Linked DNA regions of Macaca fascicularis. The protein of the gene in region 2 interacts with the protein of the main gene of each other region in a biochemical or structural test. Links are inferred from orthologs where the notes say so. Each region holds a gene or a part of one and is shown on either strand. Other genes may lie near its edges.

Region 1 (3,815 bases), on a different chromosome or scaffold from region 2:
AGACCAGTATTTCAATCCTTGTTCTGATTTATACTTCCCAACTTTGTATTATTTATAGATCTGATAAATTTTCCTCTACGACTGCACTATGACAAAATGAATATGACTCATTATATACATGAATCTTACTGTTAGCTTTATCTTCCTTCCTCTGCCCTGATTTCAACATTTAAAAATCCCTCTTGAAATTAGCTATATCTCTATTAACAACTTTAAATCATCTCTGGTAAGAAGGTAGGTTGTTAAAATATATTATTATTGATAAAAACTGTTCAATAGCATAGGAGCTAAGAAATAGGATATTGTGGCAGGCTGCAAAAGACAACCTCTACTTTTTAGAAACATTAATCAATGTGTGAAAATAAATGTTTTGGTAAGGATCTTGGTTTGAGCATTTTCAAGTGGTAACTTCAGCACATTTAACACTGAGGGTTAGCTTTAATGAGCAATACAGTAAAACTTTTAGAAATGCAGTTCCAAAATAAAACATACATATCACCAACTACGCTTCACAAAGCTATCCAACTATACTTTTTTTGTAAGAAGATGTTTGTAAAATGTAAATGTCAATACATAATTTTCACAAAATAAGCAATGTGTGAGCACCCATAATTTCCCATTCATGGTTAATAATTTTTGCATTAAAATTATTTAAATCTAAAATAACATATCAAAATTTATTAGATGAACAGATTTCATAGCGCATCATGGGATGCTAGAGAGTTTTCCTTTTGTGCTTTTGTTCAAGTAGAGTCTCCAAAGAAATGTAAACATAGCTCTCTGTTTACTCTGAGTTCCTAAAATAGACACAACACTTTCATCACATAATAGTATTAACCTTGTAAGTAATATAGAGAATGACATGGAATAGACAGGTGAAGATGGTGGGTGAGCACATTTTTCTTTTAGATTCTCATTAATGCTGTAATCCTTTCACCCCCTCTCATTGCCTCCATATCATCTCTCCAATATTTTCTAATCTTGAGTTCCATTTCTACTTCTCTCAAATAAAGGACATCCTTCACTTCCCTATTTTCTTGTGCAAATCGTATCTCTATACTCTTTTCCATTCCCCTGTTAATTGTGCAAAGGAGGCAATGACATTTACATTCATCAGAAAGTTAACGTGTTTTCAGGTTGTACTTACTAAAACATGCTATATTATCTTCTCATTAGGAAATGTGGAGTATGTCATACTATATTAATTTGATATACTTTAATCAAAGGTTAAGACTCTAATAAAACAGAAAATAAACATACAATTTCTCCCTATTAGTGTATGCCAAAAGAAATGCAAGGAGTTTCTGATCATGTACGTAGATCACATGTTACGATATTTATTTATTACCACATATGCTGATATTCAGGGTGTAGAAAGAAAAAAAATATTTACCACTGTGAATTCTTAAGTGCTCTTTTAGGTGGTGTTTGTATTTGAAAGCTTTTCCACACTCAGTGCACTTGAATTTACGATTACACCCAGACTGCGTCACATGTCTCTGTAAGAAAAGAATTGGTATTTTATTTGTAAAGCAAAAGATTTTTAGACTAAAGAACATCCAATCTGCTAAGAGTAACATTTTTGTGAGCCTGATGGTTGTTTTGTTCCTTAAAGACCTCAAATTGCAGCAGTCACAAAAATCTACCTCTTGAAATTACTAGCAGTTGTAGCAGTCACAAAAATGTAACTCTTGAAATTATTACCAAAAAGGATAGTGACAGTGGGGACAGAATTTGATACAGAAAAATATCAACTTTCTAAAGTATCTAAAGTATCTAAAGTATCTAAAGAGTTCATCCTTTATTAAGCAATATTCAAAATTAGCAAAAATAAAGTAATATATACTTTGCTAGGAACTAGAGGTTAATTTGTTTGCATTCCAATTTATAGATATAGAAATCACATCCACAAATACTGAATAACCTGTTTAAAACTCACTCAATAGAACAAGGTCCTGAAGAGAAGACAGGCTTTTCCCTGTACTTTATCCTGTCTTTTCCATTTGATATTTCCAAAAATGTACTTTGATGATTAAAAAGATACTTCTAGTTTTTTTCAGCCAAATGGGGATTATTATAATAGCTTTCTGTCTGGTTTATCAAATTCCCATTTTCACATATTTCAAATGTATTCTTCACACCTAGATTAATCTTACAAAAGCACTGCTTGAATTGAATTCTATCAACTCCTGCTCATAAACCGCTGAAGGATCTCCACTAATCCCTCAATAAAGATTCTGAGTCTATAGATTCCAAGATTTTAGTCCCTGAGTTTCCAAGATGATTTTTCACCAGTTTTTTATGACAAGTCCATGTCTCAGTCATTTGCGAGCCATGGTTTCCTGCACACATATTGCTCCTCTTTATCTTTTGGCTTTGGCTTACGTAATTCCTTACTCCTTCACTGTGTTTTCCCATAATTTTGACTACTAAGATTCTACCCATCCTTTAACGGCTTAACTCAACTACTGCTTCATGCTCTCCCAACTGGAATCTCCCTTCCTTTGCCTTTTATACAGGAAGGAAAGAGAATTAGTACTTACTTTGAATCAGGTCCCACTTCATTAAAACCCATGACTTAAAATACCAAATATATGGTGACAACTCCCAAATTTTTATCTCTAAACCTCTCCCCTTAACTCCAGACTTTTACAACCTACTGCTTCTTTGATATTGCCAGTTGGAAGGTGATAGAGATATGAAACTTTACATGATTAACACCAAACTCTTAATTTCCCTCCTACAAGCCAGCCCCTTCTCTAGTATTTCCCATCTCTGTGAATAGCACTCTCATTTATTTGGTTATAGCTTAGGCCTTAAACTTTGGAGTTATTCTTGATTACCCTCTTACTCATATACCCTCACCCAATCCATCAGCAAGCATATGAACATATTCTGAAGCCAACAATCTTATTTATCTGTCTGCCACCAAACTCTCTGGCCTAGATTACAGCAAAAGCCTCTAAATGTTCTCCCTGCTTCCGTTCTTGTCTCTCTTATCTATCATCCAACAGTCAGTGTTCCCCTAAAAATAAAAATTAAAAATTCCAGGATCCTTGGCAGGCTTCCCCACTGCACTTGAGAATACAATCCAAAGTCTTTATCTTAGCCTACAAATCGGCCTATAATATGTAGCCCCCAGCGCCTCTCTGGCCTTACCTTTCTCCCTTTCACACTGGCCTCTGCTGTTCTCAGGGTGTGCCCGGCAGGTTCTGGCCTCAAGGCTTTCTTACGTTTCACTGTTTCCTCTGACTGGAATGCCCTTCTCCAATATTCCATGACTGGCTTCTTAACTGTATTCAGATGTCCCATTCTCAGAAAAGTCTCCCTTCTCTGTGAAACCTAGCAGCTTTCATCATTTTCTATCCTCTTATCCTGCTGTATTTTTCTTCATAGTACATATTATTTTATTTCTGTTTTATATAATCTACTAATGTATGGTCCCTACTATCAGGGACTTTTTTTTTCACTACTGTGCCTTTAACACCCAGAAGAGGGCCTCACATATAAAAGAAATGCAAATGTTTGTTGAATAAATAAGTTAGTAAGGCTTGAAAATGCTTGTTAGTCACAGTATGATTCTCAAGGGCCAACAAAATACACATTCTACCTTTTAGTTTGCTACCTTGCAAACTAAATTGTTTCCAACACCTGTTATATTTCCTCACATTACTGGTCCCCATATTTATCACAGCTCCTTCCTGACCTTAGTCTGACCCACAGTTTATATGTAAATCCTACCACGTTTGCACCCACTGGAAAAATCATCATAGAATTGGTTTTCATGCTCATTAAATATTTTGGAGTTTGTTTTT
Region 2 (4,495 bases):
TCAATGGTAGCCTTGGTGATGATGGCATCATCACAGCTGAACCACTGGTCCTTTTGTTGCCGGATAAAGCTGGTATAGTGGCCACTTTCCAAAGTTCCATGGTGATTAATCACTGCAAACAAGGAATACTTATTCTCATTGGGCACACAATCTGCTGGTGGCTGGCCTTCTTTCATTCTGCTCTCTTTAGTGGAGGCCAAAAACGGAGTCATGTCCAGCTCCAAGGGAAAGGAGATAAAGGTATTAATCTTTCGCCTCTGTTTGCCTACATGCTCAAACCGCTTGAGATGAAAACAAGCCACAATGGGTAATTTTTTCATTGTAAGCTGTTTAGTAGACTCCTGGTAGCTTTGGCAACTATTGCATTTGATTTTGGCACTGCTTCCTAGGTGCTCTGGCCTTGTAAACCACTGTAGGCAGTCTGTGAGTGAGGGGATTCCTGGTATGTGGTCATCCCTGCTCACTGTGCCATCAGCCCTCTCTGGGTTCTGGGAATCGAATGTGGCACAAGAGCCAGGCAAGTCCAAACTGATGTCCCAGCATGGGTCTATGGTGGTGGAAACACTATGGCAGGCTTGACATGTGACATCTGATTGCAGGCCACCTGTAAAGATTTGGTCTATGATGCAGTTACAGCAGTTGGGGTTATTGGCCTCCTGCACACCACTATCATCTTTGCTGTGTCTATGCAGCACATCTAATATTGCAATAAGGAACTCATGGGCATCCTGCTGCCTGTACCCTGCTAAATGTTCTGCATGGATCCATATCAGATGCAGTAACTTATAGGGAATGTGAGGAGTTCGGCTCCCAGAGTACATAGCATGAAAAAGCGAAGACATTTCACAGACCAGACACAAGCTGGGGCTTGTCATTATACATTTGTGCTTGTCAGAGAGGAAGAAATCTTTCAGTAGAGGAATATGGGTAAGTGCCTGAACAATACAATTCATAAAACAAGTGTTCCCAAGATTGATTAGCCCTCTCAGGCCTACAGTATAGACTGACTTTTTTCTTCTCTTTTTCTTGGGTTTCACCAATTTTGGCTCCTGTTCCTTTGTCTCACAGGTTGATTGCTTGTCTTCAGTCCCTGATGTCATAAACTGTTGATGAGAAACATCTGTTGAGGTGGAAGTTAATCTCAAAATTTTTTCTTTTGTTTCTTTGGCAATCTGTTCTATGTCTTTGTCATATACATAATCCTTACACATGAAGCAATATATGACCCCATGATAAACGTCTACAGCTAAATGGTGCTGCTTTGTTTCTGCATGTTTGTGAATATGTTTCTCAGTGAAGCAGCCAAAAAAGACACAGGAGAGACAAGAGTGGAGTCTATTCATATGGGTACTACATACATGACAGATGCATGACTTTGCTTTACGTTTCCTAGTCTCTGGGGTCCCACTCCAAACGAAACGCTGGTAGATCAGCCTCAGGTTCTTCTGCCAGTTCTTACCTACTTTAAAGCTCTCCACATGAGAGCAACCTGTGGGACCCTGACCAAAGTCGACCTCCAGCAACCAGTCCCCTAAGCCGCCAGGATCCCCCGACCCGTCTAGGTCACCAGAGCAGCTTCTCCGTGTCTGAGGCCTGGACCCAGGTCGGGATCTGCGCCGGGATCCACGCCAGGCCCTGGGCCGCGGTGCGGATGGGGGCGGGGGTGGCGGCGGGGGCGGGGGCCGGGCCGGAGGCGGGGGTGGGGCCGACAGCCCAGGCTGGCTGCGGGAGCGGGCCCGGGGCTGGGGCCGAGGGCGGGGCTTGCGGCGCGGGCAAACGGGCGAGGAGCTGCTGTGACAGCGAAGGGGGATTGAAGGGAGCACCTTCTCGTCGCCGCCGCTGCTGGTCCACGTCAAGTTCTCCTCCGGCACGGGCTTAGGCTCCTGTAATGGCTCCAGCTTCATCTCCTCAGCTTCCCGTCCCGAAGACGCCTTCGTCGCCCCCGCCGCCGCCTCCATTTTCCCCGCCTTCTCAACCGCCTCCTCAGGAGAGGCTCCTCCCCCACCTCCGGAGATCCAGCGGGCCCCAGAGCCGGAGGGCAAAGAAGTTTCTGGAACCTGGGCCATCAGATCACTGCTCGACCTGAGAAGCAAGGCGTCTGGAAACGAGCTGCGACTGTAGATGAAACGAGACAGACTTCTGTGAATGATCTGCCCAGCGTCATGGCCGCAGTGCGCAGTTAGCGCCCCCAGGACCCCTCCCATCGGCCCTTGAGCTCAGCCCGCGGCCGCTGCCGGCTCCACCCACTCAACTGAGAGGCCCCTGGAGCTGATGGGGAGACCGAGGCGGTTACCTGCTTTAAAGACGCTCAGATCGTGCAGGGGCCAGGGGACTGGGAACAGAAGGCTAGCGAGCGGTGGGGGTGGGGAACGGCCTGAGCTTTAGGACAGAAAGGATGGAAACTTCTTTAAAAAAGGCGCCACCCTCTGTCTGCTTTTTTGCGCCCTGCGCAGCCTCGCTTTGGTGCAGCTTCCTCTGACGTTCTTTCCCTGTATCCTAAAAAACACTTGGGTCAACATTTTCTCTCAAAAATGGCTGAAAGGACGCACTTTTGGAAAATGAACTCAGAGGAAGAAAGTGTCCCTCTGCTCCTACCTTATCTATACTTCTGTGACCCGGTGTGTTCCACTCTAAGCCGTTGCCCCTCAGCGCACTTTCGTTCCGCCCAGCTCTTGCGCCCTCTCACGCTTTTTCGCTCTTGTGCTCTCACACCCCTTTTCTTGCTTCTGCGACTTCAATTCCTACGATTTCTCCTAGAATTCGGATTACTACTCCCTCCCTTCAGGCATTTGCCACCTCTAAGGCCACCACCATCCTCGGGCGATCCCCGAAGTCCCCGCTCCCTTTTCCCTCTCCTGCCCCCGCAACGCCCCCAGCCCGGCGGTTTGTTTAAAGGTCTGGGTTACCTTGGGCCCCAGGCGCGTGATATAGAACGTCAGCAACTGCTGCTGTCCAGGCGCTCCTCAGCCAGCCTTCTCTCCTGACCTCTCCTCAGGGCTGGTCACAAGGGGGCCGCCCCCTGGCCCCTCCCCTCTCGACGTGCGGCCCCCAACCCCGGATTCTGCCCTCCTGCAGTGATGAATGGCACCGCTGTCCCGCGCAGGCAGGCAAACCTCTTCCTGAAACAGACTCTACTGGAGGCAACAGCAGCAACAGATTCTACAGAAAGCCCCTGAAATGGAGGCTCAGGCCTCACCTAGCTCCAGGCCCGCACTCCACAGAAAAAAAGATTCGCCCGGCATGGGGGTGGGGGCTTCCAGAGATGGCAACTCCCTGGCAGAAATCCCTCAGGATCCTGTCAGAGTCTGGTCTCTGGGAGTTGAGAGAGAGAGAGAGAGAGAGAGAGAGAGAGATTATCCCAGAATGTGCAGGGGAGGAAGCATAAGCAAGGGCTCAGGCTCAGAGAGACCTGAGCCCAGGCACATGCTTGCTGTGTGACCTCAGATAAAACACTTAACTTCTCTGAGCCTTAGTTGTGTCAATTTTTTAAGAGAAATTGAAATAATAACCCTAACCCAATGTGAACACTAAGTCATAGTATATATCAAGTAAAAGACCTTTTTGGCAAGCTTTATCTTTCACACCTCTTTTTTCAGTCCCGACCTGAAAATCAGCCTAGAGAACAACTGATGCAGAGCAGAGGAGAAGAGAATGCCTTTCTCTTTCGAAGCTCTCTCCAAGTTATGGCTCAGCTCACGCTATCATCCCTCCTAGGCGGTTCATGTACAGGAGCATGCATTCAACAAAGATGCCATCGGTGCATTATAGCACTAGATTGTGCTGTGAGAAGCACAAGATACAACTGTTTGTGTCCTGAAGTCCATAGGCCAGGAGACTTTTCCTTTTCTGTGACAGATCCAGCATCCAAGGTGACAACCCCGGAGGAAAGCTATCTCCAGGGCTTGTTGCCCTTCCTGTCCAATCCCAAGAAAATTACGGTTTATTACAGAGGATGTTTAATGCTACATTTAATCTCTCTGAAAAAGTCACACATCTCCCCTCAAAACCTCACGATTAGGATTCAGCTCTCTTTAACTTGGCAGTGGCATCTAGTGGATATGTCCGCACTGTGGATATCAGTGATTTTATGACTTGGTCTAGATTCGACCATATCTCAGTCACCTACCAGCACCTGGAGGGAAAGTGCTTTGGAATTATAGACTGGCTTGTGCAGGAAAACGTGTTTCTTTTCCCCTAGGGAAGGGCATTTTCTCAGTCACAGCTAAGCAAAGAGTTGCTTCTGCATTCGCAGAGCTAGAAGGAAATGCTGAGTCAGTCGTTTGCTAGCTGCGCCACCTGTGGCGTGGATCCCAGCTGCTCTGAGACAGCCTTGCACCCTTTATGCAGGCAGAGAGGCAGGGCACAATTTATAAATACTTCTGTCTTCTGAGCCTTTGCTTTCTTTTGTGCAAAATCAGAATCATGAGAATGCCAGCCCTACCTAGATTCATTTATGCAGCAGATATGTAAACAGCACCTACTGCTGCCCTGGGCA

What was found.
Region 1: the proteins of USP51 (region 2) and ZEB1 form a complex in vitro, tested with the Homo sapiens proteins (2 studies listed by BioGRID). The link is inferred for Macaca fascicularis from reciprocal best matches to the Homo sapiens genes USP51 and ZEB1.

Annotation. Positions count from the first base shown.
Region 1 is NC_088383.1:32,244,464-32,248,278, reverse strand, and holds part of ZEB1 (zinc finger E-box-binding homeobox 1), read right to left. Parts: intron 1,500-3,815; coding exon 1,394-1,499; intron 1-1,393. UniProt on the Homo sapiens protein: Acts as a transcriptional repressor. Inhibits interleukin-2 (IL-2) gene expression. Enhances or represses the promoter activity of the ATP1A1 gene depending on the quantity of cDNA and on the cell type.
Region 2 is NC_088395.1:55,607,319-55,611,813, reverse strand, and holds the start of USP51 (ubiquitin carboxyl-terminal hydrolase 51), read right to left. Parts: upstream 2,966-4,495; 5' UTR 2,907-2,965; exon of another isoform or gene 2,380-2,906; 5' UTR 2,205-2,379; coding exon 1-2,204.